Linked DNA regions of Kluyveromyces lactis. The protein of the gene in region 1 purifies or fractionates together with the protein of each later gene. This does not show direct contact. Links are inferred from orthologs where the notes say so. Each region holds a gene or a part of one and is shown on either strand. Other genes may lie near its edges. The genes, in order: TOR1 and LST8.

Region 1 (4,632 bases):
CGGTAGAACAAAATGCCCCTCCAATTGATGTGGCTTTGTTAATGCAAGGTATGTCTCCATCTAACGAGGAGTATTATCCTACCGTAGTAATTGGAGTCCTCATGAAGATTTTGAAAGATCCTTCGTTATCTATTCACCATTCAACTGTTATTCAAGCGATCATGCACATTTTCCAGACAATGGGGCTTCGCTGTGTCATATTTTTGAAACAGATCATTCCTGGATTTATACTGGTTATGCACACATGTCCACCTTCACTTCTTGAGCTCTACTTCCAACAGCTCAGTGTTTTGATTTCAATTGTGAAACAACACATCAGACTACATGTGTCTGAAATTGTGGAAGTAATCTCAGAATTCTTCCCTATCGTAAAGCTACAATTAACTATCATCTCGGTTATCGAATCACTATCAAGAGCCTTAGAAGGAGAATTCAATCCTTATTTACCTAATATACTATCTTTGTTTTTGGATGTTTTGGAAAAAGACCAGTCGAATAAGAAGGTTGTCTCAATTAGAATATTGAAGTCATTGGTAGTTTTTGGACCACATCTAGAGGAATATGCTCACCTCGTACTGCCAACTATCATAAAACTATCGGAGTTTAGCTCAGGAAATTTGAAGAAGGCCGCAATCATTACTATAGGACGTCTATCGAAAAATGTCAATCCACTAGAAATGTCGTCTAGGATTGTGCAAGCCCTAGTAAGAGTCTTAAATACATCAGAACTCGAGTACGTGAAAGCAACAATGAACACATTAAGTTTACTTCTTTTACAACTCAATATTGATTTTACTGTATTCATTCCAGTTATCAATAAAACTTTAGTCAAACAGAACATTCAGCACACAATATACGACCGTTTGGTTGCCAAACTTTTGAATAATGAGCCACTACCGACCAAAATTATTATTGATAAAGATTTCGATTTACCTAATAAAGAAATGGACGATGTAAAGGTAGCTTCCAAGAAGCTTCCTGTCAACCAACTTGTGCTAAAAAATGCCTGGGATTGTAGTCAACAAAGAACAAAGGAGGACTGGCAAGAGTGGATTAGACGGCTATCAATTTCTTTACTCAAAGAATCATCTTCTCATGCTTTACGTGCCTGCTCCGGATTGGCTGGTATCTACTATCCATTAGCTAGAGAATTATTCAACGCCTCATTTGCAAGTTGTTGGGGTGAACTTTACACGCAATATCAAGAGGATTTGGTTCAGTCTTTGTGCTCTGCTTTATCCTCACCAAACAATCCTCCTGAAATCCACCAGACATTATTAAATTTGGTTGAATTCATGGAGCATGACGACAAACCGCTACCAATTTCTATATCAACTCTTGGCGAATACGCTCAGCGTTGTCATGCATATGCAAAAGCTTTACATTATAAAGAACTGGAGTTCATTGAAGAGCCAACAACTTCAACTATCGAGTCCTTAATCAGTATCAATAATCAATTACACCAAACAGATGCAGCAATCGGTATTTTGAAGCATGCGCAGCAACACCACGATCTACAATTGAAGGAAACTTGGTACGAAAAGTTACAAAGATGGGATGACGCTTTGACTGCGTATAATAAGCGTGAGGCTGCTGGTGAAGATTCGATAGAAGTTACAATTGGTAAAATGAGATCATTACACGCCTTAGGTGACTGGGATCAATTGTCTGAACTTGCAGCAGACAAGTGGGCTTCGTCAAAGATAGACATTAAGAGAGCAATCGCTCCTCTGGCTGCGGGTGCTGCGTGGGGTTTAGCTCAATGGGATCGAATCGAGCAGTACATTGAGGTGATGAAACCACAATCTCCAGATAAGGCCTTCTTTGCTGCCGTTCTTTGTCTACATCGCAACAATTTCGATAAAGCACAAGAACAAATCTTTGCTGCCAGAGATCTTCTTGTTACTGAAATGTCTGCCTTGGTGAACGAAAGTTACAACCGTGCTTATGGTGTTGTGGTAAGAACTCAAATGGTCGCGGAATTAGAAGAAATAATTCAGTATAAAAATTTACCACAGGGTTCCGATAGACGGGCTATGATACGGAAGACATGGAACAAAAGATTGTTAGGTTGTCAAAAGAATGTTGATGTCTGGCAAAGAATTCTAAAGGTACGGTCACTAGTTATAAAGCCTAAACAAGATATGAAAGTATGGATTAAATTTGCTAATCTTTGTAGGAAGTCCGGACGGTTAGGTCTAGCTCAGAAGACATTGAACACTCTTCTGGAAGAGAGTAGTGATCCAAAGAATCCAAATACTGCTCGTGCACCTCCACCAGTTGTCTACGCCCAATTGAAATACATGTGGGCTACAGGTTCTCAAAAGGAAGCACTCAACCATTTAATAAGCTTTACTTCTCGTATGGCACACGATCTAGGCCTCGATCCCAGTAACATGATAGCTCAAAGTGTCCCACAGAATAGCAGCGTATCTCAGCATCACATTGAAGACTATACGAAGTTACTTGCTCGTTGTTTCTTAAAGCAAGGTGAATGGAGAGTCTCACTACAGCCAAATTGGCGCCTGGAAAATCCTGATGCTATCCTAGGTTCCTATTTACTAGCTACTCACTTTGATAAGTCGTGGTATAAAGCTTGGCATAATTGGGCATTGGCAAACTTCGAGGTCACTTCGTCGCTTACCCAGCGAATCAAAGATGACAAAGTTCTAACACTTGAAGACGCCTCTACGGAGTTTACCAATGGTGCCGTGGCAGGGCTTGGCGCGAATGAAAATTTCCCTCCAGAACTGGTCCAACGTCATGTCGTGCCAGCCATCAAAGGTTTTTTCCGTTCTATTGCTCTTTCCCAATCGAGTTCTTTACAGGATACGTTAAGATTACTCACTTTGTGGTTCAAATTCGGTGGTATTCCAGAAGCTGCACAAGCTATGCATGAAGGCTTTGGATTGATCAAGATCGATAACTGGTTAGAAGTTATCCCACAATTGATCTCCCGAATTCATCAACCAAATCAAACCGTTAGTAGATCTTTACTATCTTTGCTAGCTGATTTGGGTAAAGCCCATCCACAGGCATTAGTGTATCCATTGACAGTTGCCATTAAATCTGATTCGGTCTCAAGACAGAGGGCAGCTTTGTCCATCATAGATAAGATGAGAATGCACAGTCCTAAACTTGTCGATCAAGCAGAATTAGTAAGTGACGAATTGATCAGAGTCGCTGTTTTGTGGCACGAACTTTGGTACGAAGGTCTTGAAGATGCTAGTAGACAATTCTTTGGTGAACATAACACGGAAAAGATGTTTGCCACTTTGGAGCCATTGCATGAGATGCTAAAACGTGGTCCTGAAACCTTGCGTGAGATTTCGTTCCAAAATTCGTTTGGTAGGGATTTGAACGATGCCCACGAGTGGGTAATGAACTACAAGAGAACAAAAGATATCAACAACCTTAACCAAGCTTGGGATATCTATTATAATGTCTTCCGTCGTATTAGCAGGAAACTCCCTCAATTACAGACGTTGGATCTCCAACATGTTTCACCAAAACTAGCTGCTGCGAAAGATTTAGAACTTGCTGTTCCAGGTACATATCATGCCGGAAAACCTGTCATTAGAATTACCCATTTCGAGCCAATATTTACTGTTATTTCATCCAAACAGCGTCCTCGTAGGCTATCTATCAAGGGTAGCGATGGTAAAGACTATCAATATATTGTCAAGGGCCATGAAGATATCAGACAAGATAATTTGGTCATGCAATTGTTTGGTTTGGTTAATACTTTATTACAGAATAACCCCGAGAGTTTCCAAAGGCATTTGAACATTCAACAATACCCTGCTATCCCATTATCACCTAAATCCGGTCTTTTGGGATGGGTTCCAAATAGTGATACATTCCATGTCTTGATCAGAGAACATCGTGAAGCAAGCAAAGTTCCACTAAATATAGAACACAGAATAATGCTCCAAATGGCTCCTGATTATGATAACCTAACTCTATTGCAAAAAGTGGAAGTTTTCACTTATGCTCTTGATAACACCAAGGGCCAGGACTTGTATAAGGTTCTATGGTTAAAGAGTCGTTCATCAGAATCATGGCTCGAACGTCGTACAACTTACACAAGATCGTTAGCCGTCATGTCAATGGTAGGATATATTTTAGGTTTAGGTGATCGTCATCCAAGTAATTTGATGTTGGACCGTGTTACTGGTAAAGTTGTCCACATTGATTTCGGTGACTGTTTCGAAGCTGCAATTCTCAGAGAGAAATACCCAGAAAAGGTACCATTCAGATTAACAAGAATGTTAACGTACGCAATGGAAGTCAGTGGTATTGAAGGTAGTTTCCGTATCACCTGTGAGAACGTAATGATGGTCCTAAGGGATAATAAGGAGTCCTTGATGGCTATTTTGGAAGCCTTTGCATACGATCCATTAATCAACTGGGGTTTCGATCTACCGACTCAAGCCGTGATGGAACAGACGGGAATAGATCTACCTCTTGCAAATCCAAGTGAGTTACTAAGAAAGGGCGTCATCACCGTTGAAGATGCGGCCAAGATGGAACTACAACAAAAGGCAGAAGTCCGCAACGCAAGAGCCACTCTTGTTCTCAAAAGAATCGCTGATAAACTTACTGGTAACGATTTCCCAAGGTATCAAGAAC
Region 2 (3,020 bases), on another chromosome or scaffold:
TAGATTACTAGTATTGACTTTCAATTCTTTCACCGCTGCTTGTACGAAAGAAATATTAACGAACTCAAACGAAAATTTTGGATTGTGGTGGATGTTCAAGGCCTTTCTAGATGAATGGATCTTTTGGTATGCCGAAGTTGGAGGATTCCTCAAAGATTGAACCTCTGAACTTTAATTTTGATAGATTGTTTTTCTACGCTAAAGTTACCTTTCCCACTAAGAATATTACTCTTTAAACCTACTCCATCTCCTATTCGTTGTTTTGTTTTTGTTTTTCTTGTTTAAATTCGATTTACCTGCCTTTATTACCATTCGTTATCGTTTCTATTCCTTTAATCTATTATTCTATTCAGAAACGAATAAAAAAACGAAAATTGGACTTGTTTTCCCATCTAATTGAACCATTCCTAATCTTCCCATTAATTTTGTATCTATTACCATACCCATTCTTGCATTTACGTGGTAATTGTCGTTCTGCTCTTTTCCTTTTCATGATCATTAATTGTACTATTGTTTTTGGACCTGTCAATTCATTCGACGACTCAAGTGAGCTCCAAAACGAATGCCACAACCAACTTCTGATCCTGGCGAAACTTTCCAGTATCATCGCAGGTCATCTTTATATATATCTAAGTGTTGAAAGTAAATAAGAGTTTTGATATCCATAGTTTTGATCTTTTTATTAAATTACTACATCAACGAAACCACAATAAAATGCTATGTCGCATATCCCTTCTTTAGAGATATTGATTAAAGTTTCATACATCGTTAAGAGCAACACAAACAGCACCTTTGTGATGTCCTCCATACTGCCTTACAATTTCACTTGTGGAAAGGTCCCATAATCTTACATAATGATCAGAGCATGCTGTGACTAGGTATGCACTGTCTGCTGAAAACGCACAATCCCACACCCATCTCTGATGACCATCTAAAGTGGTTTCAAGTTCAAAATTATCCTCTATATTCCATACTCTAGCTGTATGGTCTGCTGAACATGTTGCTAAATGTTTTACATCCGCCGATAGTAGGACCCTGGTAATATATTTAGTATGCGATTTGAATTTAGTTACGGGCTCCAAAGTGGAAGCATCCGTGTGATGAGGCATCTTCCATACATAACAGTTCCCTTTGTTATTTCCTGCAACAAGCATCGATCCGTCGCTTGCAACGGACAACGACTGTAATGGCGTGTTATCTTCTGGTGTCAGCTGGTTTGTGCACTGGTTTTCACCAAGATCCCAAATCCTGATATTCCCATCCTGATCGCAGGAAATCAATTCCCCTTGGTTCGGATGTATCGCTACTTCATTGACAGGTGCATTATGCTTGTAATTCCTTTGCACAGATGGGGACCGTACATCCCAAACCTTAATAGTCCCATCTTCACTAGACGATACCATCCATCGATTTTCCTGTTGAAATGCAATCGACGTTACGTTCCCTTTATGGCCTTCGAAAGAGGACACCGGATTTGGATTATTCGACCGTATATCATAAAGACGGACGTGTAAATGACCAGCAGCAGCCAAATATTTCTTATCGGACGTAATCTCTAATCGATTCACTTGGGAATCTGCATGTTGAATGGTTCGTGAACAGACTCCAGTCAAAGCTTCCCAGAACCTAATTGTGTGGTCGTATCCAGCACTCGCTAGAATAACAGACATGGCAATATTGAAGTTAGTCTGACCGTACACAATAAGAAACCTCTACCTTGTTCACAGGGGAGAAAAAGCCTTGAAAACTCCTCAGATTCCTTAAGACTTTCTTTCATCTAGTATATTGCATATTCTTTATCACATTAAACCATAATTTGTCAATATTCATGATTGAGATATAAACAACAGCAATTGAAACAAAAGTGGAGGCATAGAGATAGCCACAAGATTGTGTAGTGGCTAATGTCATTGAATGACACCTGATTTGCGGCTTTGTGATGACAGATTTGTATTGGTGGGAAACTTCTATATCACGTGATTGTCACATGAATCTCGCGTGCTTAAAGCATTCATGTTTTTTTACTTCTAGAAGGTTCCAGGGTATACTCTGAAAGAACATGATCGGTTGCAACAGAACTGAACCTGAATATATAGGAATGAAATGTTATATAAAGGTTTTCAAAGAACAGGATGTTTTTCGTTCAAAGATTATTGGTCGTTGGTATTCGATCGACATGTTTAGAGAAGAGTTTTATTGCATCTTTTGTCCCATTGGTATCTCGAAACAGTGTAAACATTAACTGATTCTTTTAGTTTACTCTAATTCTTCTAGTTTAGATAGAGCTAATTTGAACTATCATTCGACATATATACAAAAGGACAATTACCAAATTTGAAACGTCGTAGGAGTATGGTTAAGGACACTAAATTATATGATTTGCTAGGAATTTCGCCTAGTGCAGGTGAAGCCGAGATTAAAAAAGGGTACAGAAAGGCTGCCTTGAAGTATCATCCAGATAAGCCTACAGGTGACACTGAGAAGTTTAAAGAAATCTCTGAGGCTTTTGAGATTCTTTCAGATGCTCAGAAGAGGGAAGTTTACGATACTTATGGTCTAGAGGCTGCTCGTGGTAATGCTCCTCAATTTGGAGGAGCGGGAGGGCCTGGTGGGCCTGGTGGGCCTGGAGGATTTTCTTCTGGTGGGTTTGCCGGGGGACATGCGTTCTCACAAGATGACGCTTTCAACATCTTTTCACAGTTCTTTGGTGGAGGAGGTGCTGCCGGAGGTGCTTCTCCATTTGGATTCTCTGCTAGCGGCGGGTCTGGTGATGATTTCGGGTTTGGAGGCAGTAGTTTCCATTCCTCTTCGGGCGGCATGCCAGGCGGTATGCCAGGTGGAATGCCAGGTGGAATGCCAGGTGGATTCAGTAGACAACAGGCTAGACCTGAAGAAGAAGTTGTTCAGGTCAATCTACCTGTGTCCTTAGAAGATTTATTCAGCGGTAAGAAGAAATCATTCAAGATCACAAGAAAAGGCGCCGGTGGTGTGTCCGAAAAGAACCAAATTGACATCCAATT

The links.
Region 2: the proteins of TOR1 (region 1) and LST8 purify together in Schizosaccharomyces pombe (affinity purification with western blotting; 3 studies listed by BioGRID, with this or other methods). This does not show direct contact. The link is inferred for Kluyveromyces lactis from reciprocal best matches to the Schizosaccharomyces pombe genes tor2 and wat1.

The regions. Positions count from the first base shown.
Region 1 is NC_006038.1:1,224,902-1,229,533, forward strand, and holds part of TOR1 (phosphatidylinositol kinase-related protein kinase TOR1), read left to right. Parts: coding exon 1-4,632.
Region 2 is NC_006040.1:412,012-415,031, reverse strand, and holds LST8 (TOR complex subunit LST8), read right to left. Parts: upstream 1,671-3,020; coding exon 759-1,670; downstream 1-758. Other genes in the region: RFX1 (Rfx1p), read left to right, coding at 1-160; type II HSP40 co-chaperone SIS1, read left to right, coding at 2,353-3,020. UniProt on the Schizosaccharomyces pombe protein: component of both TORC1 and TORC2, which regulate multiple cellular processes to control cell growth in response to environmental signals. Nutrient limitation and environmental stress signals cause inactivation of TORC1.